4 linked regions of the Schizosaccharomyces pombe genome follow. The protein of the gene in region 1 interacts with the protein of each later gene in a biochemical or structural test. Each region holds a gene or a part of one and is shown on either strand. Other genes may lie near its edges. The genes, in order: hsk1, mcm2, hst4 and dfp1.

Region 1 (7,665 bases):
TATTTGAGTTCTGTACGGCCAATCTCTCGGCGTCCGCTTTTCGCCGTTTGAACTCTGCCTCACAATATTCGATATAGACTAATTGTTTAATCGCGACATGGCCTACTAAAAATATTAAGTGCGCCAGTCGTATACCTATTTCTTCCTCATCTTTTAATGTTTCTTCTTCTGGAGAATCATCTAAATCTTCGTCCATTGCATGATCATCGTTACTGGTAGTATTCTCATGATTGGAAGGTTTGAAGAGTTGTTTCGTCAAAAGCAAAATAATGTTGGTACAAAGTTCGTCAGGATGTTTGGCAACTGCATATATAGCCTCAATAGCTTGCTCTTCTAACCCAAACCACTCTTCAGAGAACGATGGTCGAAGTAAAAGCATACATAATTTTTGACAAAGCGTATGCGAATTTGGAAAATTAATATTAGAAGAACCAGACGCATCTTTGCCAATACGTTTAATCGCTATACATGTGTACCTTGCAAGAACTAAATCCTCCAAACCAGGGGGACCAAGTCCTATTTGAATAAGATGATCCAAGCCCTGCATGACAACATCGGTATTGCCTAATGCTAGCATTCCAATTACTATGATGGATCCTCTACGTTGTGTTCGAGATATATCCTTCTTTTGATAACTGTATACTTGCCATAGTTTTGTTATGACTAGATGTGAAAAATACCCATCTTTCATCAAAATGCAAAGCATCTGTTCAAGTGATGTAAGCTCAGCAAGGCTAGCATCATATGTTAATGAAATAAGATTTCTCGCAATATAGTTTGCGGCTTCGTTGGTACCAGAGTTCGGAGGTGGCTCAAAAAATAATGTTTTATAACATGACAATACATGGTTCTGAATGTTGTTCCCTTCGTCGGAGGTTCCTTTTACCCAAATTAAATGAATCATTTTTTTTATATATAATTTTGAAGACGAAATTCCAAAAGAATTGCAAAAAACAAAGAAATCCATTGACTCAATTACCTCGCTCTTATTTTTAGCAAACAACAACTGGCTTATTATTTTTGCTCCCGCTTCCACAATGTCTATATATTGGAGTGCTTCTAAATAAAACCGTTTCGTTAAATTCACTTTGACTATTTCCTCAGCAGGAACAGAATCGACATATTCGCTTAGAGAATTTTCCAAGTGACTTTCTCCTTCATGTGACTCATCATCTTGGATCATAGTAGCATCCTCTAATAAGTTTTCATCGACTTCAAGCTCTGAATCTACCACCTTTTCTTGTTGCTTTGGTTGTAAAGAATTAAGCTGTTCCTCGATGATAGATAATCCTTTCTCCCAAATATTTCTGGTTAGTAAGCCATTGTGCATAACTGAAAAAGGATGGGTAGTTAAAAGTTTAGAAAATAACTTAATTGCATTTCGGCGGACATGACTTGACCGATCTTGCAAACATCTGATCACGAGTTCCGCGATTTCTTGACGTTTTCTGGGATACTTAATTGGTAAATCAAATATTTTGATAAAGACGTGAAGTACTTTAGTACGACAGTAAGGGCTTATATCTAGTAATCGCTCACTGAGAAGATCCATTAAGCTTTGAACAGTTGCTGGCACTGACTCTGACATTTCATTTTGAGCCTCATCATGAATTTGATCAATGACCACATTAGCAAGTACTTCTATGATAGCGCATCTCAGAGTATATGATTCCGAATCAAGCAGCTTAACTAATTGAGTAAGCTGTTTCAAACATAAGTTTGGAATAAGTGAAGAAAGACGGACAAGAAACAAAGCGACTTGCTTGGGACCTTTAACATCGTTATCATTAAATTCTAGAGAGCACAATGTTCGAATAATTCCTTCAGCCAAGGTAACGGAATTAAACTGAACGGTAACAATATGAACAAGATCAGCAGCATACTCAGATAAATGCTCAAAGTATTGTAAATTTTGAATAATATTTGTCTCCGCTGCAGTGGTATGGTTATGGAATTGAACAGCAAGCCCGATAATATTAAATAAACGAGAACGGAAAGAAGCATTTTTTATGTTAATTTCACTTTCCATTAACGTGTATATTGGTTTTAGGAAAAGTGAAAGAAACATGTCTCTTTCCGAAGAAGTAGTCCATACACGAGATAATTTTTTTTGAAATAATGTTATGATTGCATCTAACAAAGCATTTACATGTGAGATACCATTCCAGTTAGAGTTAGTAGTTGGATTTTTTTTTCTTCCCTTAACAGTATTAGTGGATGACCGAATAACTGAAAGTTGATTTGAGGAAGAAAGGGAATTGACCGTGAGCTGAAATGCAATGCCTGTAGTTTCTAAATTCGTTTGAGGTACAGTAAAATCAGTAGCATTTGCGGAAATCATATCTTCAAGAATAGCGGATTCAGAGCTGATATTACTCGTGAGTAAATCATATACTTTATTCCTTACAGAGGAAGAGAGGTCAGCAAAGTGTCTAAACCATTATTGTTAGTTTGGTAAAATTGATATATAGTAAACCAAATGGCTTCCTTCTATTTGAATAACACAAAATAACAACTACTTACGAACATATAGCAAAGAGTTTTTCCAAGCAATCCTCGTCGAAACAAGAACTCGTTCCTAATAAAAGGGTATCAATGACGTCTAATTTTTCATTGTTAGTTATTGTGGAATCGATCATTTTCAATTTTTTTAAAAACCCAAATGTCCATACCGTTAACCACGGCTGTCAATCCAGCATTTTCACATTCAGCATAAATCGAGTCCAAGTCGGAATTTTCTTCATCATGAATGTATTTCTTTAATCTAGAAAGAAGATCCAACGACATTGAGGCCACTGAAAGCCGAATCTTTCTATGTTACGAATGAAATAAAAGATGGATTTGGCGTACTACATTCTAGTAGTCCTTGTAAACAATAACCCCACCTATATGTCCTGTGTGGGGGTCCATTTATACTTTCTTACTAACAAAAAAGAGCTACGGTTAGTCAAAATATAAAATAGGAGCTAGACTTAATTGTTGCTAACCACTTTAAGGATATAGAACGTGCTTTTATTAACTCATTTGTTTACATTAAAAAATAATATTTTAATTAACTTTTATTGAGCGTGCCACGTAAAAGCTATTGTTCTTTTTAGTACTTCTAATTAAATGTTTTGAAAAGAATTTAATATATTTTTTGAATAACGTTAGTTGTAAATTCTTTCTTGAGCTGTATTTCTGATATAAAAACTTATAATTTATTTTGGCGCATGTATCATTTTCAAGGTGATTTTCAAAATTATTATGAATGCAAATTTTGACGAGGTAAGCATTTGTGCTGTTTTTAGAATTTTAAAGTAATACACAATAAACTAAACAGAAAACCTATCGTAGTTTAACTAGGAATAAATTTCAAATTCAGGATAATTTTTTTATTTATTTTTAAATAACAGAAAAAAAAAACGTGTTTGAATACCATGGTTAATCATATTTACTCTCAATGTCCAATAAATAGTCAATTCTAGTTGTTTATGGTGGTTATTAACAATAACAAGAGCCCAAAGGATTTATGTTTTTTAAAGCAAGTCCTAAATTTAAAAAAAGATAAAGGACATGAAATCTTAATCTTTTCCATAAGTATACAAATATTATAGCAGAGTACTTTTTTTATTAAACAAAAGTTGGATTAAAAATGTATTTTTCTTGTTTGGAAGTAACAATGTCCCTCATTAGAAGAGCATTTTGCTTAACAATGTACAACTGGTGTTGAACCTGGAATCTGCAAATTCTTATATTCATGGAATGAGTTTGTGTTACACATTTTAAAAACTTGATTTTTTTGAATCTTAGTATTCGTTCGCGTGTTCGGTTTGAAGGTTTAAAATACGTGAAAATTTGTTTTTTCTTGGTTCCTTCCCTTGGCAGCATTTTACCATTTAATTGACGACTCTTTTAATTTTTTTTAAGTTATTATTTGGTTTAAAAATATATGAGTTAAACCGTTAACATGGCAGAGGCCCATATCACACTATCACCTAAAGTAACTCATGAACAACAAACAGATATTGATTCTGAATGTGAAATCACTGAGGTGGACGATGAAAATGTAAACGAAAACAAATCTCAAGAAATGATTCAAGATATCCCTGCACGAGACCGCGAAGAAATTGAAAATATCACAAGGACGTTCGTAGAGCTACAAGAGAACTATCGGCTAATTGAAAAAATTGGAGAAGGTAAACTTCAATTACCGTTTTTAGTACTGTTTTGAAACTATCTTGCTAATTCGTTTAGGTACGTTCTCCAGTGTATATAAAGCGGAAGACCTACATTATGGGAGGTATATTAATGATTGGGACATTCAAAGTGAAGTGTTAAAGGAATCTTCTTTTGGAAAAGAAAAAATTCCTGTTAATGAAGACAGCCGGAAACCGAAGTACGTTGCTATAAAAAAAATTTACGCGACAAGTAGTCCTGCTAGAATATACAATGAATTAGAAATCCTATATTTATTAAGGGGATCGTCGGTAATAGCCCCGCTAATAACTGCTTTAAGAAATGAAGATCAGGTACTCGTAGTTTTACCCTACTACGAGCATACTGACTTTCGTCAATATTATAGCACTTTTTCCTATCGCGATATGAGCATTTATTTTCGATGCCTTTTTCAAGCTATGCAGCAAACTCAGACTTTGGGAATCATTCATAGAGACATTAAGCCTAGTAACTTTCTCTTCGATGTTCGTACCAAGCATGGTGTCTTAGTTGACTTTGGATTAGCAGAGCGTTATGATGGAAGACAACAATCACATTCTTGCCGGTGCACTAATTCAAATGCGGCCGAATTAGCACATGATTTTTCGATTGCGCAGGAAACATCTCTTGGATACATAAAAAACGATACTCGACCAAGCAAACGGGCCAATAGAGCCGGAACTCGAGGATTTCGAGCACCTGAAGTATTGTTTAAATGCTCATCTCAATCACCCAAAGTTGATATTTGGTCTGCTGGGGTTATTTTGTTATCTTTCCTTACTAAACGTTTCCCCATGTTTAATTCAAAGGACGACGTGGATGCACTCATGGAGATAGCATGTATATTTGGAAAAAGCGAAATGCGCCAATGTGCTGCTTTACACGGTAAGAACGATCTAATGTCCCTTACGGAAGTGTTTGTGTTGATTTTTTTCGCTAACCTGCCAGGTTGTACGTTTGAGACAAATGTAAGCACGCTTACAGAAAAAAGAGTAAACTTTAGGAAACTTATTTTGTGGGCCAGTTGTGGTTCAGCCAGTATATACAAAGAAAAGCTTCGTCATAAACCAAGCCAAGAAGAGCGATTGTGCCTGGATTTTTTAGAGAAATGTCTTGAACTTGACTGTAACAAAAGGATTTCAGCTGAGGAAGCATTGGATCACGATTTCTTGTATCTCGATAATTTAGCTTACGAAAAGAAAGATGACGATACAGCTTTTGATAATAGCTTTGGAGAAACCTCTTTCGAGAAAGACGAAGACTTAACTGCTAAGCACTTATCCCATATCCTTGATTTTAAAGAGCAGGAAGAAACAGATGAACCTACTTCTTTATCAAAGCGGAAGCGAAGTATTGATGAAATTTTACCAAATGATGCTTTGCAGGATGGAGCTTGAGAAGATTTGCTGGCAATTTCTCATCAAGCAATCACTTATATTTGTGCATACATTTTCATTTACAGTATAAGCATTACTGTAATCATTGGGTATTAAAGTGAAAGCATTATTGTATGTCTATACATCGAAAATACCCTATGGAATTTTTGGGGTGCATTTTCAGTTACAAACATTAATCCATAATTAATTTTACCATAGCATAACGAACACATATCAGCAGGTGAGGCTTTTTCACTTACTGACTTAATTGAAATAAAATCTCTATACACTATTTGACCAGAGAATAACACTACAGATTGATCATACAACAATTATATTCCATCAAAGTATAGACGGATAAACGAATCAAACAAAATTAATTTTATTAAGCCACTAAGCAATCACAGGATGTTCTTAGGCAATGAGCTCAACGACACCACCAGCTTGCTTGATCTTCTCTTCAGCACGACGAGAGACATAACGTGTTTGAATGATGACGGGAGTATCAGGCAGACGACCCTTACCCAAAACCTTACCGTAACCAGATTGTAAGACATTAATAACGGGGGCAACCTCCGTGTTTTTACCAAGATACTTTTCACGAGTTTCGTTGGGAACCAAGGTCCAAAGACGATCCAAATTGACAGTAGGACGCCACAAAGGATTCTTCATGAGGTGGAATCGACGCATACCAACCTTACCAAAGTAACCAGGGTGATACTTATCAAAGTGACTACGGAGGTGTTGCAAACCACCGGCCTTACCACGACCACCGGGATGCTTCCTGTGCTTACCAATACGACCATGGCCAGCTGAGACGTGTCCACGAAGCTTACGAGTCTTAGAAGTATGAGTAGGCATCTCGTTTCTTCGCCTTAATAGAGTGGGTAGTCTGAAGCAAAAAGATGTGTACAGTTTTTTGAGAGAATAAAAAAAAGCAGTCACATTTATAGTTGAAAGTGTAGCGTTTTACGAATTTAGCCGAATTTGAAAGTTGCAATAAAACAGCTAATAATTAAATATGGAATAGTAATTTTTTAAATATTTTAGGTTTTTAAATTCCTAAATTTGTTTTGTTGCGTGTCTAATTTTCACGGGCATCAGTGCACTTTCCTATATTGTTCGAATGTAAACAATACTTGTCGGCATATATCTTTGTCAAATAATTGTCGCCAGATTGTTAATGTATTGATCGTTTGACAATTGAATTAAATATGTTTGAGGTTGTCCAAAAGCCATGAATATGAGTACCATCATATATATACCTTAATGAATTTAGAGGGTATGTATTTAATTGTCTATATGAAAATGTAGTGAATTTTTGAAAATTAGAGATGAGATGTGTGTGCATCCTTGATTAAGCATCGTAAATTTCTGTCGTTCTTTTATACAAATTTTAAAGAGTGCAATCGTTCGGATCATGTCAAAATTCAAAAAACTAAGACTGTAACATACAAATCTGCGAGCCTAATTGGCGATAATTAGAAAATGTCTTGAATAAGGTAATAAGTTGGATTTTAATAATTTTACTTCACCCAAGAATCGTATTATACTTTTACGCTCTAGGATTATATATAGATAAAAAAACGTTTAACAGTCAATTGGCAAAGATACCACGGTTTAGTAACGAAACTAATTATGCTGAGTTCAAAGAAACTATAGCAACGTATTTTACTTGTTTGTTTAAAAAACTAATTACTACAGTACTCAAAAGTTAGGGTCTCATCCTGACAGTCAAGCAATTGTGAAGCATCGTCGGCATTCTCCTAACAACACTACTTCATGGATGTGAAATCCAAGCATGGACACATAAAGTCCAACCCAGAAGAATCGCTTCTATTTAGGAATTCTGTGTCGAAAAATATAGCACAATTGTCTTCAATTAATTATGCAGACCGGAATGTTCAAGCGGCACTAGAACAATTGTCTGAACGAAAATTCAAAAATGAAAGAGAAGCACGAAAGCAACTTCCATTTGAAGTGTTTTCTGATTTAATATGGACGAATGGGTCAATCATCAAAGAGCTGTCAGAGCTTTCAAGTGTATGTTAAATACTAATCCATCAAATATTTCTGCAACGCACTAACTGTA
Region 2 (8,523 bases), 2.0 Mb from region 1:
CCATTTCAAGATGTGATGTAAAGGGTGGCCAGCGATAGTCAAATGCGTCCAAAGATGCTAAAATGGCAGCTATTGTAACATCATGTGCGCCATAGAGGGCCAAACGATGATAGGGTGAACCATTCTTTTCAGCGACCACGAAGTTCTCCATTCTCATGCTTAAATCATTTAACAAGCTTCCAGCACCTAATTGACGCATCAACTTAGAAACCTTATAACCGCCAAACCATTCTTCTACAACAGCAGTTTCGGCATCGCGTAACCATTGTTCATCTCTTAGGTTGGGATTGAAGTCGACATGGCTACCAATGGCAGCGTTAATAGTATCAAGCAAACCACTGAGACGAGGATGGCTTGAAACAACTCTAACAGGCTGACCATTCATGAATTGACTCATCATTTCAGAGGCACGGCCTGCAAGTAAGGGATCGTAAAGCTTAGCAGCTCGTTCTGCAAATTCTTCATATAGTTGCACAAGTCGAGGACAGTTGTTTTCATTAGGAAGTAGGTTTTCGTCTGACCAATTTCTCGTAAAAATGACAGGTAAACCCATCTTACGCTTTGACTCAGGATACAATCCGGAAAAAACATGTTCTAAAGACTCCAAGGCTCGCACCATTGGAGTCGCACGCATATAAACATCAGCGTAGTTATTCAATTCATCAGGTAAGAATTTCAATTGTTTGACATAACGTTCTCGAAGATACTCACCAAGTGTTCTGGTAGTAACACGCCCAAAATCAGTCAATTCACCATGAATGCAAACACCACTTGGGGAATTGTCTGAAGTTGGTGCTGCAAGAGACGTGTCAACTGGTGACTCAACCTTCCTTTCAAAACCCAACACAGACCATTCCTTTTCCCCTTTAATTTGCGCAAAAAACCTCCTTGCATTATTACAAAGCTTCCAATCCTTAGGGATACCGGCGGAACCAAGTCTTTCCTTCACGGGAGCACGTTCACCATGTCGAAATATGACTTGTAAATATTTCAGTTGCAGCTGTTTTGGATAATCGACTCCGGGAACTGAATCCGGGAATTTAACAGAAGCTGAAGACATTTGAGACATGGCGGCTAGGAAGTGGTTGATGATGCTGGATAAGAGCTGCTGTCAACTAAGGTCTCAATGCTTGAACATCATCGCAAAGCTCATATAAAATATGAATTACTGAATATTAACGAAACGACACTATTTGAAAATTAGTTTTGTTTATGAAAAGAAAACAATAAAATATAAAGTTAATTCAATCTTAAAAAACTGTTAGGAAAAAATTAAAATGAAAGTCATTATGAGATATAACAAAAAAAAAATACCCAGACAGGGTTTCTCTTTAGCTTTCTCAATCAAAAATAAAAGATAAAAGACGCAACCACCAAAACTATAGATAGGTTTAAAAATTTTAATGAGTGCAGTTAAAATAGGAGAGACAAGAAAGCTAGAAGTTCAATATATTAATTATTGTTCAAATATACATACAAATTTGTCATCATCATTAAAATCATGTATACCAACAAGCCCCAGTAAGCCTCTCAAATTAACCATCTCTGTTAAGAAAATCAATTAAACCATTTTTGATAGAGAAATGATTACGTTTAACCATAAGCACATAGAAAATATCTCTGGTTTCACCAGTATAAACAGCGTTTCACAAAAAGCATCACCAGATTAAGTATAACCTACATGTTTTGACGTTAAATTATACGCCAAAAAAGAAGGGAATTCAAAAAAGTTATTAACGCTACCGTAAATTTTTACTGATTCGAGATCGCTCCAAGAAAAAATTTGATATATCTTCCTTGGTGACAACCCTATTTTCACGAGCAAATGGAGTGAGGAAGTCCGTTAGCTCAGATTTTAAGCGATTATACGCATAAACGCTTTCGTTAGCTTGTACACGAGGAAGTCTGTCCAAAATACGAAGGACATCATTCATTGTGCTAGATATGACTTGCTCAATCATTTCTCCAGATTCACTGGGATCCTCATTCATCTCACTGATTCCATCCTCAGAATCCTCAGGAGGTTCGTAAATAGGTTCTTCTGCCACCAACATTGGCATCTCCAAATTACGCAAACTGATGCAAGATTCACAAGGGCACAAATTTTCCCTAAAGTTTTCTGAAAGAAATAGAGGCGCTCGTTCTGTACCAGCTATGCTTTCATGCTTCTGGTTTAAAAGATGATCGCGGTATTTTTCTGAACATTCTGAACACACCAACCATTCAAAAGTCTCAGCATCTGGGATTGCAATTCCTTTATTAGTTTTCTGCAGACACTTTTCGTGAAACCAATCTTCGCAAAGGATGCATTGAAACATAGTTCCTTCCTCTGTCTCTGGATTATACACCGTATCACATATGCAAAATCGCCCTTCGAAATTATGATTATAATCATTTTCTGAGCCACATTCATCAACGGATTTCCGTAAATTACAAGGTATGGAGTGGGTTCTTGTGGTGCCACAATCACATCGAAAATGTCGTTTATTGAATAGGTCCACAAGATCATGGTCAGCATGGCAGCTAATACTGCAGCTATAGCAAACAGCATTTAAGCTTCCGCTAGCTTTTTGACATGTCAAACAAGCGTATAAAGGTTGCTTCAAATAGCCCATCGAATAAGTGCACGTGTCAAAGCTGTAAGGCAAAACTTCTCGTGCCTCCCTTTCAAGCTCCCTTTGCTGTTCAACATATTGCTTAACCGTTAATTCATGAGCCGTTTCCTCCATAAGTTATTAAATGCAACTAAACGTTGGCAAATAGACGGCGTAAACAATTGCGAAGAATGTCTTTTGAATAATTCAAAACACTAACTCATTACGCTCCTCTATTTCATTTACAGGTATCACTACATTTTCCAATACAATTTAACAATATACTGTAGCATTTCTTATTCTTTCATCCTGCAATACTCTAGCTATTCAATGCATTAAAATAGTTAGAAACAACATCTTTAAAGTATTTGAGTCCAAAGATGGATTCTTTTCGGAAAAGGGGTCGCCGCGATTCTGAAAGTTTACCTTTTGAATCAGAAAATTCTTCTCTCGGTGCTACACCTCTTTCTTTACCTCCTTCTTCACCTCCTCCAGAATTCTCTGATGAAGCTGCAGAAGCTCTCGTGGAGGAGGATATTGAGGATCTGGACGGAGAAGCTTTAGATGTAGAGGATGAAGAAGGTGAAGATTTGTTCGGAGAAGGAATGGAACGGTAAGTTTTATAGCTATGCTTGAGACGTGTCTTGTCAATGTTGTGTATACTAAGTGTTGCCATCAATATATAAATTACATACTATTTCTTCTCCTTCTTGTAAATAAATATATTTATTGGATTCCTAGGTTGCGGTTATATTGACAGAACAAATCTTGATTTTCAAAAGAGTAGTTTCACATTTCGCGTCAAATAAGGTACTTTTTTCTAACTGTATAGTGATTATCAACAAAATTTGGAGCTAGATCGTTATGACATTGAAGAACTAGATGACGATAACGATCTTGAAGAATTAGATATCGGGGCCCGAAGAGCTGTTGATGCCAGGTTGAGACGACGTGATATTGAGCTCGATGCTGCTGCAGGTAGAACAAAACCTGCTGCATTTTTACAAGATGAAGATGATGATTTGGACTCCAATCTTGGCACAGGCTTCACTCGTCATCGACATCGAATTTACGACGAATATTCACCTAATGTTGGCGCATTGGACGAATCTGGTGAACTTCCTCTTGAATCAATTGCCGACGTAAAGGCCGATAGTATTGCCGAATGGGTTACTCTTGATCCTGTTCGGCGTACAATTGCTCGAGAATTCAAAAATTTCCTTCTTGAATATACAGATGAAAATGGCACCTCTGTATACGGTAACCGTATTCGCACATTGGGTGAGGTTAATGCTGAGTCGTTGATGGTTAATTATGCCCATCTTGGTGAATCTAAACCCATTTTGGCTTATTTCTTGGCCAATGCGCCTGCACCTATTTTTCGCATATTTGATCGTGTTGCTTTGGAAGCCACTCTTTTGCATTATCCAGACTATGAAAGAATACACTCTGATATTCATGTTCGTATCACTAATCTTCCTACTTGTTTTACTTTACGCGATCTACGACAATCCCATCTTAATTGCCTTGTACGGGTATCTGGTGTCGTAACTAGGCGCACTGGGCTTTTTCCACAATTAAAATACATTCGGTTTACATGTACCAAATGTGGTGCTACTTTGGGTCCATTTTTTCAAGACTCTAGCGTTGAAGTAAAAATTTCTTTCTGTCACAACTGTTCCAGCCGTGGTCCGTTTGTAATCAACTCTGAACGGACTGTATATAATAACTATCAAAGGATCACTTTACAAGAATCACCTGGCACCGTCCCCTCAGGTAGACTGCCTCGACACCGTGAAGTTATTCTTTTAGCGGACTTGGTTGATGTTGCCAAACCAGGCGAAGAGATTGATGTTACTGGCATATACCGCAATAACTTCGATGCTAGTCTGAATACCAAAAACGGGTTTCCTGTCTTCGCTACAATTATAGAAGCAAATCACATATCGCAACTTGACGGCAGTGGTAATACTGATGATGATTTCTCTTTAAGTCGGCTTACTGATGATGAGGAAAGGGAAATTCGGGCATTAGCAAAGTCGCCTGATATTCACAACAGAATTATTGCATCGATGGCGCCTTCTATTTATGGACATCGCTCTATCAAAACTGCTATTGCTGCTGCTTTATTCGGTGGTGTCCCCAAAAATATTAACGGTAAGCATAAAATTAGAGGTGATATCAATGTTTTATTGTTGGGAGATCCAGGAACCGCCAAATCTCAATTTCTTAAGTATGTTGAAAAAACGGCACATAGGGCTGTCTTCGCCACAGGTCAGGGTGCCAGTGCTGTTGGTCTAACTGCATCCGTCCGTAAAGACCCCATTACGAATGAATGGACTTTGGAAGGGGGTGCTTTGGTTTTAGCAGATAAAGGTGTTTGTTTGATTGACGAGTTCGATAAAATGAATGATCAGGATCGTACTTCTATTCACGAAGCCATGGAACAACAAAGTATTTCTATTTCTAAGGCGGGTATTGTGACTACCTTGCAGGCGAGGTGCACTATTATTGCTGCCGCTAATCCCATCGGTGGACGTTATAACACTACAATTCCTTTTAATCAAAATGTTGAGCTGACCGAACCTATTTTATCTCGTTTTGACATCCTTCAGGTCGTCAAAGACACGGTTAATCCTGAAATTGATGAACAGCTAGCTAATTTTGTTGTATCAAGTCATATTCGATCTCATCCTGCATTTGATCCGAATATGGATGTCTTGAAGAAAGTCCCTACTGAGACTGGTATTGATGCCAAACCCATTCCCCAAGATCTTCTTCGTAAATATATCCATTTCGCTCGTGAAAAAGTTTTTCCTCGATTACAGCAAATGGATGAAGAAAAGATTTCGAGACTTTATAGCGATATGAGACGCGAGTCACTGGCTACTGGAAGTTATCCTATTACTGTGCGTCATCTGGAGTCTGCTATCCGTTTAAGTGAAGCATTTGCAAAAATGCAGCTCAGTGAGTTTGTGCGCCCTTCACATATAGACAAAGCCATTCAAGTGATTATTGATTCCTTTGTGAATGCCCAAAAAATGAGTGTTAAACGAAGTTTGTCAAGAACATTTGCTAAATATCTTATTTAATTTTTTGACACAATCAGTTTATGGAGTCCAGTGATTTTGATTTCCCCGTTCTTTGACCCTCCTTTTGTTACTGCATCTGTTGCATATATCTATCCTTTAATAATTTGCAATCAAAATTTGCTTTACATTTTTATACCTATCTTTACATTCATTCTTTCTTAGTTTTCAAAATGTCAATCTAAATTATTTAGGTTAATAACACTTGTTTTGAATATCATTATTGACTATTCGCTATAGATACTAGGTGTATAGATACTTTCTCCGCTGTATCAATATTATTAGCTGTTTCATTAAAGAGCCACTGCCCATGTGAAATGACATTTTTTGAAACAGCTGAGGTTTTTTACATATAGAGCTAAATTGTCCATTTCCAAATTTAAAGGGAAGTCAACTTTTGACAATCGGAAATGCATCCAGTTCATATCTGATGTTCCTGAAGAATCTCAAATTTCACACTTTATTATCTAAAATTATTTATATCGTGTTACTCTTTCAAATCAGTCTTTTTATTTGGTATATATTTTGCCCTACCCTTACCTACTTATATTCGTACATCCACCAAGTAAACTTGACACAAAAACAAAATGGCCTATCCCGGGCAGTTTGGAAATTACGGTAATCCTGAGACTTATAGGCAAAATGTTGCTGGCAATATTGCTTCATATGGGGGCCCTGAAATTGACACTCAGTTAGCTGCTCAAATGAACGCACAAATGTATATACAGCAAGGTAGTGCAATGGCTCCACAACCCCGACGCGCTAGAAGACATAAAGATGCCCATGCATATGATATGTCATTGACAGATGCTGAACCAGCTTTGGCTCCTGTCATGTCGCCTGCTATCCCGCCTTCCATGAATTATCCTACGCCAAGTACACCCTCAGTACTTCCAGAATCTTTTTCTAATGATACAAATCTCCTCGATCCTGCAGCATTACCTTCGGCTCCTGAAGTTCGCTATGAAGATCAGCAATTGTTTAAAAACCAAATATTCAATACCATGGAAAAGGGTTCTCCACCTATGTCCACTACAGATTTTGTTGGGTATGAACAAGGAAATTCATCTTCCAAATTCGTTCAGTTTACCAGTTACGCGATTCCAGCTACCAATGATGTTTGCAATGCTTCCGGAATCCCCTTGGGAATGATTGTTCAACCGTTCGCAGAGTTACGTCCTGATGAAGCACCCGTACCCGTTGTAGATAACACAAATTCAAATCCCCCACGTTGCAAAAAATGTCGTGGCTACATCAATCCTTTTATCCAATTCACGATGGCAAGTAGTAAATGGACTTGCAATCTTTGCGGTTCAGAAAATAGTTTTAATGATGATGGTTTTAATCCTTTAGTCGGTAGTCAGCATGATGGAGTGGAGTCTCGTCCAGAATTAAATGTTGGCACTATTGATTTTAAAGTGGGGAAGGACTATTGGATAAAGGAGGATCCGCCAAAGCCGGCTCGCTTTGTTTTTATGATTGATGTTTCCTATGAAGCTTCCTCCAAAGGACTTCCCAAGGTTGCAGCTGAAGCTATTCGGAATATTCTCTACGGACCGGTACCTCTTGATCCTAATGTCAAAATTGCTATTGTCTGCTTTGATCGAAGCGTTAATTTCTTCAATTTATCTCCTAATTTAGAGCAACCCCATATGTTAGCTGCTTCTGATTTAGAGAATCCCTTTGTTCCATTTTCTTCCGGTCTTTTTGTTGATCCCATTGCTTCAAAAGTTGTCATTGAGAGATTGCTGGACAGTTTCCCTGCAATTTTTCAAGATGTTAAAATTCCCGAACCAGTCGTTGGCAATGCACTGGAAGTAGTAAAACTCCTTCTTAAGGAAACAGGTGGAAAAGCTTTTGTTTTTGTTAGTGCTCTTCCTACGATGGGATTGGGGAAATTAAGGCATCGTGAAGATCAAAGATTATATGGGACTTCTGATGAAAAGAATCTTTGGAACACCCAAGACAAGTGGTATACATCTCTTGCCGATGAATATGTTACTGCTGGTATAGGTGTTGATATTTTCTTTACTGCTACTGCTTATGTTGATGTTGCTACTGTTGGAAGTGTTGCGACCTTAAGTGGTGGGCAGATTTACCACTATAGTAATTTTGTTGCTGATCGTGATGGATCTCGACTTAAACAAGATTTATTTAGAAGTGTTACCAGAGAGCAAGGCTATCGAGTGATGTTGAAGACACGATGCTCAAATGGTCTGCGTGTCTCCAAATATTTAGGCAACTTCTTGCAACGAACTCCACAAGATATCGAATTTGGCAGTCTTGATGCTGATAAAAGTGTAACAGTTCTGTTTTCCTATGATGGAAAATTAAATGGAGCTTTGGACGCTCACTTTCAAACTGCGGTTTTATATACCACTCCTTCTGGTGAGAGAAGAGTAAGGGTTGTTAACTATTGCTGTGCTGTCACTTCTAAAAGCTACGATACGATTTCTCTTGCCATTGTTGAACCTATCGTTGCAGTTTTAGCTAAAATTGCATCGACAAATATTGCAGCGGGTTCTTTAAAAGATACATCGGTTAGGTTAGTGGAGGGTGTCGTGAAAATCTTATCTAGTTATCGGAAGGTTGCTGCTAATCGTTTGACTCCAGGCCAACTGGTTCTTCCAAAGAACTTGGTGTTATTACCTATTTTGATTCTTGCAGTTTTGAAATCATCTGCTATCCGAAGTGGAAGCATTCATAGTGATATTCGTGTTTCACAGCTCAGAGAGGTGAGAGCAGCTCCTATTCAAGAGTTGATGCTAAATCTTTATCCAAACATTTATGCACTACATCAATTACAGCCCACTGATTGTCTTCCTGACCCTGAAAATACG
Region 3 (7,461 bases), on another chromosome or scaffold:
CCACCCACGTCGTTAGAAGAATCACGATCTTCAGCGTGACTAAGTATATCATCCAAATTCATGTTTTCGAGCTTTTTCTGATTTTCAGTTGCCTTGAACATATTAGAAGCACCAAATTTTAAAATGGCACTCAGCTCTTGGGCATCATACTTATCGTTTTTGGAATTTTTTGATTTTTCAGTAACACCCAAAGAGATGATCGCATATTCTAAAATCATTTTTCTTCTTGCACGCTCTAATATATCCTCCTCGACTGTGTCTTTTGATAAAAAGCGGTAAACATTGACATGATTTTTTTGACCAATTCTATGCGCTCTTGCCATAGCTTGTAAATCTGCTTGGGGATTCCAATCAGAATCAAAAATAATAACAGTATCTGCAGTATTTAGGTTAATGCCTAGTCCCCCTGCACGGGTACTAAGTAAAAACACAAAATCAGGGCTATCTGGTGCATTGAAATGATCAATTGAAACTCTGCGTACAGAAGCTGGGATGGTACCGTCCAATCTTTGATAATTATATCCGCGCAAGGACATGTACTCTCCAAGAATATTCAACATACGAACCATTTGACTGAAAATTAATACGCGATGTCCATCATGTTTCAAACGCTGCAGCAGTTTATCAAGAAGTACCATTTTACCACTATTCATGATAATACCTCTCAGCGTATCTTCTCGAGTCATCTTTCTACCCATCATCCATTTTTCCGCTGCGCCAGGAAACAGATAGGGATGATTTGATACTTTTTTCAACTCTACAACTATATTGAGTAAGGATAGCTGACCTCGGCCATCGGTATGACCTGTCAAGGCGCGGTAATTTTTAGTTAAAATGTTCTTGTACCATTCAGTTTGCATATCAGATAGTTCGACTCGAAGAATACGCTCAGATTTGGACGGTAAAGATTTCTCTACATCTTTTTTTAAGCGACGGAGAATGAAGGGTTGTAATCTTTCTTGTAGATCTCGGATGTCGCGCTCTTGTTCAGCATTTGGTTGATCAAAATTTAATTCATCTCTAATGTAAAATTTTCCAGGCATCAAAAAATTAACCAAGGATGCCAGCTCCTTGAGATTGTTTTGAAGAGGAGTGCCTGTTATTAATAATCTATTGGCAGTCCGAAATTGAGATAAGGTCTCGTATAAAGATGATTCACTGTTTTTGAGTCGATGAGCTTCATCGATAGCAAGATATTGCCAGCGAATATTGTTGAGTTCTTGCTTATCTTTCAATATATACTCATAGGTCGTAAGTAGAATGTTAAATTTAAGCTTGCGAGAATTCGTAGAAAGGTAGAATTCATACTCTCTAATATTAGCACGAGATTCCGTATTACCTGTATAGCAAATACTATTCAAATCAGGTGTCCAATTGGCCAATGTTTCTTGCCAAGCCGGAACAGTGGAAAGCGGTACGACAATAAGGAAAGGACCGTGTTGTTTTAAAGAATGGACTAAATAAGATAAAAAGCACACAGTTTGCACGGTTTTACCCAAACCCATTTCATCTGCTAAAATACCATTTTCATTCCGGTGCCATAAATATGCCATCCAGTTTATACCAGTAAGTTGAAAATCACGGATTTCCCCCCCTTTAATGTAAGATGGTTGCTTTTCTAACTTGCGGTACGGGGGACGGGTGTTATAGAAAACACCTTTATAAGGGAGATACGGACTGTTTTCACGTTGCAAGAATTGATAAACTTCATTTGGTGCCATAGAATAAATTACGTCGGCATCTTCCCATGTGCAATTATCATAAGGAAGCTGCCTCCACTTTACAAAGTATTCTGTTTTTCCTTCTTCGTTAGTTTCAGAAGCTACTATGCGTTCGACAATTTTATACTCTTCAAAAAGCATATTTTTACGTTCGCGTTCAATATCCAGAGCTTCGATATCTTCAAAGGTTGTAGTTGGATCTTCACGAATCTCGCGATCATAAATGATGTTTTGCTTTATATAATTGTCGACTTTTTTGTAGCCCCTCACAGAAGAAAGCGTAGAATAATCTTCCCAAGTATTATGAAGATGGGAAACTTCCTGCCATTTAATTAAATACTGATAGCTAGACTTCGGGTCATCGTCTTGTGCATCCGCTCGCTTTCGGTGATTTAAAACGAAATCAATAATAGGCTCATATTCCTCTTCGACCTGTTCTTCTACTTCCTCTTCTTCGTCCTCGAAGTCGTCGTAAAATTCTTGTTCATTGTAGTTGACGCTTTTACCTTTTGAAGATCGCAATGAAGTACGGATTTCGGTTCCGGAAGCAGAGTTAATACTGAATCTATGTCTCTTATCATATGCGTCTTCATCATCGCTAGCCACAGACTTTTTTTGCTTTGGTGCAGGTTTGCTCTTTCGTTTTTTAGGAATCGGAATTTCATGCTCGTCAATTTCAGTATAAGAGAAATCACGATAAACGGGTCGTTTAGCCCTTGAAGAACGTCTTGTACCATCTACTCTAACATCGTCAGAGTTTTGCGCATCGTCAATTTTAGGGGTAGACAAAGCAGAAGATACAACTGTGCTATTAGCAGTGCTGGTTACGATTTCAGAATCATCAAAGGCAGAAGACGATAAAGATTGCTGCGAAGCGAAAGAATTTTCATGATTTAACAGGCCATTCATGCTAGGTAGAGAATTTGTTGTATTTCCAAACTGAGGATCAGTTACTGCAGAGCCATTTAAAGTAGACTCTTGAACGCTCGTAGGATGATTTTTTAAATCATAATTCGAATGTTCAGGCTCCATTCTTGTTACTCCAGAAAATTTATATAATGTTAAATGTTGAGAACGTCCACAAAGTAGGCGCTCCTTTGCAGACTCTCTTTTAAAAGCTTAAAATGCTTTTTTTTAAATATATATCTGGATATTAACAGTGAAGCAACAAAGGATTAATAGGAATAAGCAGTATGCCTATAAGGCTATTAATTGAAATTACTATGTTGTTGGCAGAAATTAATAGTGCAAAAATATGCAACACTATAAATGAAATGCCAGGCAATGCAGGTGATTTTGGTATCAAATTACTTCTCCAGAGTCCCTTTTTATTAATAAAATTTACCTTTTGAGAAGGATTCACTATTTTTACTCATGCAATTTCCACTCTCAATTTTTGCGAAAATGCAAGACCTTTACAAACAAAAAAATCCTTTGCCATAAAATGTACGAGCTATTCTCATTCACTCCATGGAAATTAAGTTAGCTTACAATTTTCATTTCCGGTTCGTATTTCCGAGCAAGTCTGCAGATTTTATTTCATTTTCAAATTAACTGTGCAAAACGTGAAGGCAAATTCGTATTTCATAAAATGCTTCAGTTCGCATGCTTTTATTAAATTTAAAGATCATTAATTTCAAAAAATTTCTATATATTTTATTGTTTACTATCCCATAACGTTAAATAGTTTACACAAAAACGTCGAAACTTTTCACATAAACGTATGCTTCTTTGTTTCAATTGTTCATGAAAACATAATGTATTTATTTACTTCTTTAATTACAATTGAGAGGGGAATCGAGACAGAGAAAACAATAGTTTCTGAAAGAAATAAACTAATTAAAAATTTGACCGATTGGTTTTACTAAATTTTTTTAACTGCATGGATATTTTACCAAAGATTCAAAGATATATTTATTGGTTTTGTTATTTTTTTGAGAATTTTATGAAAGACTTCACCTTCCAACTTTTTCAATTAAATGTCAAGGAAAAATACTGTACTTAAAACTCTTGAAAGTTTTCCCAATATTTAAGAAAATGGAACTTCAATTGTTTTTTTAAATTTTTGCAATCCCTTTTTGTTTTAATATTTTTATTACCAGTTTCTGTATATATTTATTTATTTCATTTGACTATTTAGACAATTTATATATTGATAGAAGGAGAAATCTCAGAAGGATTATTGAAGACTTAATTTTATTCTTTTTATTAATGTCAGCATGAAAGCTGATTTTCTAGTCTGAACATTTTATTAAATGGGTAAAAACAAAAAAATCAGTACTCTAAATAAACATTGGTTCAACGGCATTTTTAAAAGTGAATAGAGAAAAAAATTGCGATTACTGTTATACAAAGACATGGCGAAATTGAGTCTTTCAAGCGATATAATTGTCCTTCAACGGCCTTTCGAAACGTACGTAGACACAACCGCCTAACCGTCAATCACAACTTAATTCCTCAACCATTCCATTTTAGGAAGAAGTCGAAGAGTTCAATGATTTTAATATATTTTAATTAATGCACTCAACTTTTTGGATTTAAAAAATTCCAAATTTACGTAGCTTAGTATGAAAGTGGAGGAGCACGTCCCTCTAATACAGGAGTCGAGGAAGAGAAAATGCCAATCTTCTGAAAATGCTTCGAAAAGGCAGCAATTACTTTCCAAGCTTCCACTTAGACTTCATACAGGCAATGAAAATGTCGATTTATCTCCTTTAGTTTCTGCCATTCGCAAGGCAAAGCGCATAGTCGTTGTTACTGGTATGTTGCTTATTTATGGTTTTCCTTCTTTTATTTTAACTTTTCACTTAAAAAAAAAGTGGGATTAAAAAAAAAATTAAATATTATAATCGTACAAAGGCTCATTTACTAATACGTTTAAACAGGTGCTGGAATTTCTTGTGATGCTGGAATTCCTGATTTCCGTTCCTCTGAGGGTCTTTTCTCCTCCCTTCGTGCGGAGTATAAATTGAACTGCTCCGGGAAGGAATTGTTTGATGGATCTGTTTACAGAGATCTTAAGAGTGTTAACATCTTTCACGCAATGATTAGAAAGCTACATATGCTTTCTAATAATGCACGCCCCACTGATTTCCATTTATTTTTATCTCAACTAGCCCAAGAATCTAAGCTGTTACGTTTATACACACAAAATATTGATTTTTTAGAAACCAGACTCGAGGGCCTTCAAACATGTATTCCATTGCCGCAGTCTGCCCCTTGGCCTACCACGATTCCTCTTCACGGGACACTGGAAGTTGTAAGTTGCACAAGGTGCAGCTTTTTGAAAAAATTTAATCCAGATATATTTGATAGAAATGGTGTTACTGTTTGCCCTGACTGTAAAACCGAGAACGAGGTTCGTCGTATAGCAGGAAAAAGATCAGTTATCGAGGGTTGCCTTCGTCCTCGGATTGTTTTGTACAATGAGATACATCCGGATTCCGAATCTATTGGTTCGGTCTGTTCACAAGATTTAAAGTCCCGCCCTGACTGTCTAATTGTTGCTGGTACTTCTTGTAAAATCCCTGGTGTCAAAAGAATTATCAAGGAAATGAGCAACTGTGTGCATAAACAGAAGGGAAATGTTATTTGGTTGAATTATGACGAACCTACGAAAGATTTTTTGAACTTATGCGACCTGGTTGTACAAGGAGACCTTCAAATTGCTATTAGACGTCTGAAGCCTTTATTAGATGCTCCAAGTTGGAAACTCAAGTCCCATTCTGCCAAAAGAACTTCAAAACAAAAATCTTCCGAACAAACAAAGATTACTTCTTCCACTAAAATTACGAAAGCTATTGGCTTGAACACGAAAAGCAATGATAGTTCTAAGAAAGATAACACTTCTTTTCAGTTGCACCAAGTGCTCAATAGTATTGAAATACCCAAGGTGGAAATTAAACAAGAAGTTGAATATGCAACCCCTTCTCCGCTTTAACATTTAGCTTCAATAAACCATGTTAAAAATATCAATTTATCCTTCTTACCCCAAATGAGGTTTAAATAATGCCTGTAATAATAGTAGTGAACCTTCTCTGAATCCGAAAAGCGATACAAATTCCGAAAAACGTTTGTCTAATTGATTAAGCAACTTTGATGTGATGCTTACAATTTTTTCATTTTGATTCTTTAGTATATAAGAGATGCAGTAATTAGGTTGTACAAAACCAAGATCATCAAATTTTATCTCATAAAGTATTGTAATTTTGTAAAAGGAATTTTGAACATAGAAACATTGAGCGTCCATGTTTGCTGATGCCACTTTTTTCATATGCTTTGATAAATAAAACCACGTATTGCAGCGATATGAGTAATGGTGGGCAAATAATGAGAACGCTCTCAAAAGAGCTACTATATCGAGACATTGTATTGCAGAGTCCGAAAAACTACTGAGCTCTTTTCTAGCAAAATGCGGGATTTTATAAGTAATAAATAAAAGAGCATAATCGATTGTTCGGACCTTAATTTCTAGTAAAAATTTGAAGCTTGGGAGATATTCTATATCTCCTTTAAGAGAATGATGAATGATTTTCTCGGATTCCGCTTCAAATTCATGTTGTGTGAAACGAATGGATGATATGGACGAATTCAATTTAACATGTTTTTTGGGTTCAGCAGATGGCATAACTTGCTTTGTTTTAGGATTATCAGGGTTTTCGGTATTATAAATTACTACAGAGGAATCAATCTCTAATAATGATTTTATAAATCCGCTTAAAAACGAATCGTCGCGTTGGTTAATTGCATTTCGTCTAACCCTCACCTCTTTCTCAAGAAGCAGGGTTTGATGTACAAGGTTACTCCTTTTGCGCAAAAGATCCATTTTTCTGTCAGTGTCTACTCTTCCGTTGCTAGATTTGGATTGTCCACTGTTTTCATTAGGCCTCGCTCGTGAATCTACGCGAGGCATGCCATTTAAAGTAGTATTTGGGCTTCGGTGAGCAACAGTACGTTTTGTCTTTTTTTGTTGCGAATCACTATCATCACTACTGCTAGATCCTTCTTGTTGAGAAATTTGACTATATCGCCTACCGGACATTTTGATATTTATAGTCGTACGCGATAATAGTATCAGTATTACTACAATTAACAATGCTCGTGCAAAAGTGTTTTAATACTTTTTATGCAACATTAATGAAAAATCCAAAATCCTCAAATGGTGGAACAAATGCATATAGTATATAGTCATGGTCAAAGCAACACTTAAACCTAGAAGTGAATCTTAGTAGCTACCACTTTGAAATCACTACTTCATTTTTACGACTGAAATCCATATTACTCTACTAAAAATAATATTTGTAATATTTTATCATTTTCATTGTGAAATGGAGAAATTTACTCGCTGGAGAGGTAAGAATATGCAATACTTTAAATGCTTGATTGTTCACATAAATGTTGTTTAAATAGAACGCAAAAAAAAATAAAAGCAAAAAATAGAAGCCAATTATTTTGTATTATGATTCTTGACTTTAAGATCGAGTGTTTGTCAATTTCTCTTAACAAAATGACTTTAATGCAGATTCATTAACCCTTTTAGATCCGGGAACGGGCATAGCTCCATTCCATCCTATAAATACAGAAACTCCTAGTGGATTTAATTTTAAATGGATCCTTATAGTTGTTGTTATGATATTGCGAGTTCCTCTTTGCATCATTTCTGTAACATTATGGTTTCTCTGGTCTTGTTTTTTGAAACCTATACTATCTATACAGCCGAAACTTAGTTTTTTTATTGATT
Region 4 (7,945 bases), on another chromosome or scaffold:
AGTGGTAATAAGCCAAACTGACATATTTGAACGGCTCTTTTTAAATGGGAAATCAAACTCTACGGGTTTGTAAAAATAATTTCTTCAATGAGATACGACCCGGAATTATGGCTTGGGAAAAATGGATGGAGGGTTTGTCTAAAGGGAAGGCTAAGAAAATTATTGTTGTATCGGTTTACAGTTCGGTGAAAACAAACGCAGAGGTGTGTTTCTTTTATAAGAATTTTGGAACGCCAATTGATTAAATGAAATTTAAAATCATAATATACCAGTTAATAAATATGAGAAGTTTTAAAATCGATTAATACTAGTTCATTTGCTTTTACTTTATGCGAATTGACAAACGCAAGTTGATGAGAAAATGAAATAGAAATATATTTTTCTTGAGGAAATAAGCATAAAGTTAAGTATCCACGATTTAGTAGTATAGGGAAAGTCGGTGTTTATGAATGGTATATTAGATGTACGTTGAATTAAGCAGCTAACTAAATTGATAACGGCTAGTTTAGGGGTTGGATAATATGATAAACGGCTTTTACAAACTAAATTTGATAGACAGCCCCCCATTAACGATGTTGTTATATTGATAAAGCTAAGATTTGCAAGATTTATCTTTAAAGTTATTTTAAAAAGATATCCTTCAAATTTATGATATTATTAAAAATATCATAAATATCTTTAAGAGCCAGCGTTATTATACTATTGCTTCAAACTGTAATGATATTGTTGTTATAGCACAACGCTATCATATAACAGCATTCCAAAGCCGTAACAACAGTACATTTAATCGCGGTTTTTGGGTGAAGTTAAGACCTAAGATATAGGAATACATTTTTATTAATAATATGGGACTACCCCCTAAAACTATTGTTTTAGACAATGGGGCATACCATATAAAAGCTGGATTTGCAGGTGGAAAAGTTGTGTAAGAAGAAGTGCATCACGTCAATAAATTTCATGTATCTTTTACTTTTTTCAGCTAACGATAGTTTTTAGTGAAATTCCGAATTGTTTGACGAGATCAAAAGATGGAAACAGATTATTTTTGGGGAATGAATTGGCCAACTGTAACGACTTTACAACTTTACAATTTCGCAGGGCGCATGAAAAGGTACAGCATTTATGAGGGAGTATTATTTACGAACAAAATAAATACAAAGATTATGTTTACTAATACTAGTAGGGGTATTTGGTCCATTGGAGCACAGAAACAGCCGTATGGGACTTGGTAATGCGCAATGTAGGTGTGATGGAACCTAGCATGGCAGACTATTCTTTACTGCTTACACAGCCCGTATTTACAATGCCTTCCATAGAACACAATACTATACAACTCGTGTTTGAGGAATTCCAATTCGATGCTTACCTCCCTTGCACCCCAGCTGAGCTAATTCCTTGGGATCATGGAAGTTTCACAATGAATCAAGAAGATGCGTATACTGGTCAACATGGAGAATGCGTTTTGGTAATTGACTCTGGATATAGCTTTACACACATAATTCCTGTGATTGATTTCTCTGTTCAAGAACAAGCGGTAAAGCGAGTTGATGTGGGAGGGAAATTACTTACGAATTATTTAAAAGAAGTCATCTCATACCGGAAGTACAATATGATGGAAGAAACATACATTGTTAATGAAATTAAAGAGTCCGTTTGTTATGTGTCTCAAAACTTCAAGGAGGACATGGAGATATGTCACGAAAAACCACGGTCAAAATTGGAAATTTGTTATGCTTTGCCCGATTACAGCACTGGAAAACATGGATATATTGTTAGAGATATTAATCAAAAAATAGAGCAACAAGTTTTGAATCTTTCAAATGAGAGATTCATGATACCAGAATTATTATTTTCCCCATCTGATATCGAAATACGTGAGGCTGGGATTCCAGAGGCGGTCATGCAAAGTGTCACCCACTTTCCTGAAAATATACAGGCAATGTTGCTTGAAAATGTTGTTACAATAGGAGGAAACTGTAAATTTCCCGGATTTCATAAAAGACTATCATCTGAATTACGGTCGCTGGCACCAGCTAATTGGGAAGTTAAAGTTTTTGAACCTTCAGATCCTATTTGCTTTCCATGGAAAAAGGCATCTCATATGCCGTTGGAGCACTGGAATGCGAATAAAATAACTCGTTCTGAGTACTCAGAACATGGAGCAAACATAATGACACGAAAAAGGAGAATATAATAGATCACCATTTTAAAACTCAATAATGTGGGTTAAATTTCTATCTTCACAAAATTCTCAAGGCGAGCTGATAATTCGCATCTTAAGAAATTGGTTTATTACATTAAGGCTACAGCAATATAAAACGAAAAATATGCATGCATTAAGAATAAAATCTTTTTATATTAATTAACGAATCATTCTATCTCTTGATCAACCACTAAAACAACAGCTAAATAACTATATCTTTATTATTGTCGCCAGGATAATTCATACCTAAAAAGCGTTAGCGAAATGAAAGATATTATAAAAAAGATAGGAATGAAAATCAGTATACAAGTATAAAAATTTAACCACATAGTTGTGTCTTCAAGACTAATCGATTTGTAAAGCATCATATGTAACATTCTATCTCTTCAAGTGTTTATACTTACATATTATTAATGTGCCTGAAAAACAAGATTGAAAAAAAAGAAAAATTTCAGCACTTCTTCACTACTGTTTCAAGTGCATTTTATATGTACAGTGCAGTTTCAGGTTGACAGTATAAGAGTTAAAGCAACCTTGAGTTAGAGCAGTCACGGTATACTACTTTAATTAGAATGTAGCGCGTTGCGTTGCAATGTAGTCGTGTCGCGTCTGTTTACATTTTGGATAGAAAGAGCTTTTCGTGAAATTTTGTTGCTTCTGTTGGATAAATTGTTCTTTTTCTCAAGTTAATCATATAATTCAGTAAAGGAAAACTGTGTAATAAGAAGAATCGAGATCCCAAATTATTTCTGTTGAGCCTTGTTCATGGGCTACATATATTTTCCCTCACATTTTCAACAGTAAAGCCTTAAATATAAAAGTAAAAGTTGATTAAATGATATAAATTTACTTTAATAATATAAATATGTACAGATATTTTATATTTTCTTCATAGATGTTACCCAATTGAATCGTTACTTTAAGCTGTAAAAGTTGGCCAAATTGCAGTAATCTCGAGTTGACCACCACCAAACACTAATATTGTCTTTTGCGAAAGTAAACAAAGAGAATTAATCCCAAGCTAGGCTCTCATTAAGAGGAAAAATCAAATACACTAATTTAGTAAGGTGGCTGTACCACATGAACCTAGGAAGATGTCCTCTAGCTCCTCGATCTGCGAATATAGTACTCCCGAAACATGATGCCGTATCCAAACAAAAGGAATATCGAATTGAGGAAAAGACAAACGAAGCACAAAGGGAGGAAATTATAACTTGGAAAGACAACAGGGAAGATGAAGGAGAAGTGAAAACCGATTTTGAGGTTGTTAATAACGAAAATATTATCACAACCACCCCTAAACATCAAACTGTTATTACCCCTAAATCATATCGCAAGTCCGTAAAACGGATTAAACATGATGCTCCTCAAAATGAGGATATTCCTGTCATGAAGGGGCTGGCCCCCATTAATGCTGATACTGAGTCGAAGGCGGAATCCATGGCAGCTGGGAAAGTTTTGGGATCTAAGAATTCCTCTCAAAAGGCTCGGTTACAGGAATGGAAAAGACAGTACAAGAAGGCATTTCCTCATTTCCGTTTTTATTTGGATGGATGCGACCCAAGTGTTGCTCATCGAGTGAAAAAACAAATTCAGCAATTGGGTGGACATGTTGAGACGTTCTTCTCAGGAAATGTTACTCATGTTGCAACAGTTCGGGCTATCCAAGATGTTTCGGTTAAGTATGCTAAACAGGATGTAATCACTAAGGCTAGGCAACTGAACATGAAGATTTGGTCTATGGAAAAGCTTTGCAACCGCGTGTTAAAAACTTTAATGGAGAATGATCAATGCACAACCAACGCACCCACCAAACAGGGGAATGACTTGAGTTATTTGCTTTACGTAGAAAAGGTGCAAGGAACGAACGAACGCGATTTATCTGTTCCTAGACAGGACTTTGTGCATTTTCGTGGACCCTACCTTTACGTGCATGACATAGCTAACATTTACAAACCTATACTCTTACGTGAATGGCAAAAACCGCTTCCCGACAGGGACGTTCCTTGGCCGACCTTTCGTGCTACTAGTATTGGCCGGTGTCCATTTGTACCTGAAACAAAGTATCGTCTCAGTACTTCCAAGTCCTTGGTTGCTAAAAATGACCAGCAATTATTGCAACGACAGAGTCAAGAACCATCGCTGATTCTTCGTGCGAATTCGATGAAAGCTTCCTTGCCTGATATATCCAACACCGGGATCTCTGGAATGAACACAAATACCACTTATAACACCAATATCAACAACACCCCTCAAACTGCCATTTCTGGAATTACCCAAGATACATCCCCTTCTATAAGGACAAATTGTCATCACTGTTTGGATGACGGTATGCAAGCATCGGGTATAGTACAGTCAAACTTGACTTCTGCTGCAATGTCCAATAATTCTGCTATTCGCTCCGGTAGTGCTGCTAGTGTTCCGGTGGTAACAATTAATGGGAGAGATATCGCAGAGTTGAAAAAGCGTATTATTCAGCAAAAGTCTGGCATGATTGGCAAGGACTACTCTTATAAAGCGATGCTTCACAACACGAGTCAACGGAAAATTCGTGTAGATGCGAAACCTGGCTATTGTGAAAATTGTCGGGAGAAATTTGATAATTTTGAATCTCATATCCGCAGCAGTAGGCATCGAAGGTTTGCCGAGAATAACGATAATTTTAAAGACCTTGATGAACTGTTTGCCCTTGTTCAACGTCCCTTAAGGCCAGATTGAGAAAATAGCCCGTGTCTTCAAATTTTGGCACATTCACTTTTCACTAATATACGATCGTGCATGCGTATTGTGTACACCTCCTTATGCAGTTTCTCGGGATTTAATTACATCTATGTATGTGCTATTTACCTTTCTTTTTTTATCTTCCTCTTCATTTTACATGTATACTTCTAATAGTTGTTATATCAAAAAGTTTCACGGTTTATTTTCTGATTTACCAGTATCCCAAGTTATCTATTGAACAAAGTGTTATTCATTAATAGTTTATTGGGGAAGTTAGTCATCGTTGCTTATGAATTACTACCTGGCTGAGCAAAATGATTCTTGCTTAATAAAGGACATTTTATAACGTTTTAGATTTTTTAGAACCGGTTACTTGTCTGACAACTCGTCTACTTTCACTCTTAATAGCGAGAAAAAAATCTTATCAATTGTATATTTAAATAACATATCATAAATGAATTACAATCAGTTAATTTAAATTTGCTTTTTAATCGATTAATTAACAAATTCAGGCGTACGTGCAAGGATACGTCTGAGATTTTTTTTTTTTAAATTTCGGATTACTCATAATATATCATGAGTTCTCATTTATTTTTCTGACTGTAGAAATAAATAGCATTTTTTATTTTATAGACATATTTTCTTAATTGCTGAAAGTATAAAATCAGCGTTTTACTGTACCCGGCTCTCCGCCCTGTATATGCGTTTAAAGCGTGTTAACGATGTGTGCTAGTTTTCGTCGTCTGCGCGTGCGAAATCACAGGTAATCTTACCATAAATTAACCTGCCCTAAACAGACACCAGTAGTCAACGCTACTTCGCTTTCTTTGTTTGCGATTTACTCTATTTTGTTACTGTAGCGTCAACTTTTTACGCAGGCTATTTACTGTACTTAGTAGTAACCTAAACACTTTAAATTTGGTGAACGAACGACGTTGTATAAAAAAGTAAATAAAACGAGGTTGAGTTAAGCGGGGAAGAACGTTTGGAAGCTTATATATTTTTGTTTTCTCACGTAAAAATCTTTATTGTATACACTTTCGGGACCTTGCCTAATGGAACATCTCTCTAATCTTGAGCAACCAACAACGATGGACTCATATGATTTTCAGAAACTGACTAACGATGAAAACTTGCAAGGAACTGAATCTCAGGTTCCTTCTGGTAGCAAAAGTGCCAGCACAAATGGACTATTAAGCGCTGCTTCATCTGCTGCTGGTTCCTCGTTTGGATTGACTCCTTCTGCTATATTACAGCAAAAGCATGAAAATGCTCAGCAAGGAAAGAAGCAAAACAATTCGAAATCATTTTCCAAAAAACCTGCCATTGACGTCCATTCTGAGGATGCATTTCCTACACTTCTTTCTAAAACTGGTCCCAGCAAGCCAAGGATTGTTTCGTGGGTCAGAAAGACAGCTTCCAATACTAGCGTTGCTGGTTCTGATTCAGTTTCCAGAGACAAGATTCCGTTCTCTGCTAGCTCTCGTGCATCTTCTACAAAATCAACTCTTTCTTCGGTAAAAGAAACTGATTTTGTTACGGAAACTTTGATTTTAAGCCCTGATAATCAAGCTCCTCGTATGTCTTTCGTGGGAAAGCCTAATTCTGTTGCTGAAATTGTTCGTACTGTCATGCATCAGACCTCTACACGTATTAATGTTTCTACTGCATCAAAAACTAAGAATACCACGTTTTTAATTCAAGGAAAGACTTCTGCTGTCAAAGCGGCTAGACGCCAAATTTTGAAATTGATTGGTCGTCGTGAAACGAAAACTATGCCCTGTCCTGTTTTTGTTGTTGGGGCTATAATTGGTACTAATGGACAAAACTTAAAGTCTATTATGGATCGCACTTCAACACGCATTCAAATTCCCAAGCGTAACAACACCGCAAACGAGTCCTCTGATGATGCCAAGAAACCTGAAAAGGAGGAAAATTCAGCTGCTTCTACCCTCGACGATTTGGAACCCCAATATGAAATGACTACGATTACTATTGAGGGCGATTTCGAAGGTGTTGAACTTGCCCAAAAGGATATTGAAGCTATCATCAACGAAAGAACCAGTAACACTACTGTTCGTATCAGTCACATTTCTACTGAGTTATACAGTCTTCTTAGGGGCCCAGACGGTAAAAATATTAAAGAGCTTGAAGAGGGTAGGGATTTGAAGGTTCAAATTCCTTTTGCATATTTAGATCCTTCTGCCCCTGTCAATCCCATTGTTTTGTCTGGTGAAAAATCAGCTGTACGCGAATGTGCTTTGTATCTTCAAGGTCAAGCTGAGGAACTTCTTCGTACTACCATCCCCACAATGCTACCTATTCCTCGTCGTCAACACCGTTTCATTAACGGAGAGAAGGGGGTTGGTATCCAGGATATTTTGAGAAAATCCGGATGTTCCGTCATTTTGCCTCCTATTAATGGCGATTCTGATGTCGTTAGTGTCCGTGGCCCTGCCTTAAACATCAGTGAAGGTATCCGTTTAACTCTTGAACGTGCAAACTCTACTATTGTTGACGCTGTAAATATCACAACAGCATATGCATCCTCTAAAAACCCCTTTGATATTGCTAGCATAGTAGCTCGTTTGTTCCTTCGTTCGAGGAAATTGATTCCATTAGAAGAAGAATGTGCCGTACAATATCACTTACCAAAGCGTGAGGAGCTTCAGTCAAATTCCAATAAAACAGTCATAATTGAGATTTCTGGTAAATCACAGGAAGCTGTCCGTGAGGGACGTGCTAAACTTCTCGCCCTTGTTAATCAATTTCCGGAGAGCAAGTTTTACAAGGTAACAATTGATCCGCTTCTTCAAAGATATGTTATTGGTTCCAAGGGTAAGAATCTCCAGAAGCTCAGAAATGAGCATCAGGTAGAGCTTTTGGTGGGAGAATACGGTGAAGAAGATCCTGATGTCATTGTCTGTTATATTGGAGCTGATGATGGAAAGTCGCCTGACCAAATTCAGAAAGAACTCGCTGATTTGGCCGAGTCAGTTAAGTCATCAGCTGAAGCATCTG

Evidence for each region.
Region 2: of the proteins of hsk1 (region 1) and mcm2, one has a biochemical effect on the other in vitro, tested with the Schizosaccharomyces pombe proteins (3 studies listed by BioGRID).
Region 3: the proteins of hsk1 (region 1) and hst4 form a complex in vitro, tested with the Schizosaccharomyces pombe proteins (one study listed by BioGRID).
Region 4: the proteins of hsk1 (region 1) and dfp1 form a complex in vitro, tested with the Schizosaccharomyces pombe proteins (5 studies listed by BioGRID, with this or other methods).

Annotation. Positions count from the first base shown.
Region 1 is NC_003423.3:3,195,260-3,202,924, reverse strand, and holds hsk1 (Dbf4(Dfp1)-dependent protein kinase Hsk1), read left to right. Parts: upstream 1-3,723; 5' UTR 3,724-3,949; coding exon 3,950-4,178; exon of another isoform or gene 4,179-4,236; coding exon 4,237-5,082; exon of another isoform or gene 5,083-5,145; coding exon 5,146-5,594; 3' UTR 5,595-5,865; downstream 5,866-7,665. Other genes in the region: condensin complex non-SMC subunit Cnd1, read right to left, coding at 1-2,432, 2,524-2,602, 2,673-2,787; rpl2801 (60S ribosomal protein uL15), read right to left, coding at 5,988-6,434; COG complex subunit Cog6, read left to right, coding at 7,356-7,616. UniProt on the Schizosaccharomyces pombe protein: Required for G1/S transition. Plays a role in DNA replication checkpoint signaling through regulating rad3 and cds1. Involved in the maintenance of mitotic chromosome structures during S phase through regulating the function of rad21.
Region 2 is NC_003423.3:1,188,560-1,197,082, reverse strand, and holds mcm2 (MCM complex subunit Mcm2), read left to right. Parts: upstream 1-2,940; 5' UTR 2,941-2,974; coding exon 2,975-3,207; exon of another isoform or gene 3,208-3,426; coding exon 3,427-5,686; 3' UTR 5,687-5,875; downstream 5,876-8,523. Other genes in the region: SPOM_SPBC4.06 (acid phosphatase), read right to left, coding at 1-1,069; ubiquitin protein ligase E3 component mlo2, read right to left, coding at 1,740-2,729; COPII-coated vesicle-associated protein Sfb3, read left to right, coding at 6,271-8,523. UniProt on the Schizosaccharomyces pombe protein: Acts as a component of the mcm2-7 complex (mcm complex) which is the putative replicative helicase essential for 'once per cell cycle' DNA replication initiation and elongation in eukaryotic cells.
Region 3 is NC_003424.3:2,190,309-2,197,769, reverse strand, and holds hst4 (histone deacetylase, Sirtuin family, NAD-dependent Hst4), read left to right. Parts: upstream 1-4,154; 5' UTR 4,155-4,288; coding exon 4,289-4,481; exon of another isoform or gene 4,482-4,606; coding exon 4,607-5,661; 3' UTR 5,662-5,706; downstream 5,707-7,461. Other genes in the region: CENP-A chaperone, CHD family Hrp1, read right to left, coding at 1-2,753; CENP-P family protein Fta2, read right to left, coding at 5,707-6,762; vps66 (acyltransferase), read left to right, coding at 7,049-7,073, 7,261-7,461. UniProt on the Schizosaccharomyces pombe protein: NAD-dependent histone deacetylase, which contributes to both telomeric and centromeric silencing, proper cell cycle progression, DNA damage control, recombination, and genomic maintenance.
Region 4 is NC_003421.2:1,211,163-1,219,107, forward strand, and holds dfp1 (Hsk1-Dfp1 kinase complex regulatory subunit Dfp1), read left to right. Parts: upstream 1-3,163; 5' UTR 3,164-3,283; coding exon 3,284-4,921; 3' UTR 4,922-5,276; downstream 5,277-7,945. Other genes in the region: Swr1 actin-like protein Arp6, read left to right, coding at 846-925, 997-1,111, 1,184-2,194; vgl1 (vigilin), read left to right, coding at 5,980-7,945. UniProt on the Schizosaccharomyces pombe protein: Activates hsk1 kinase and is essential for G1/S transition. Has a role in S-phase checkpoint control induced by replication fork blocks after nucleotide deprivation and DNA damage.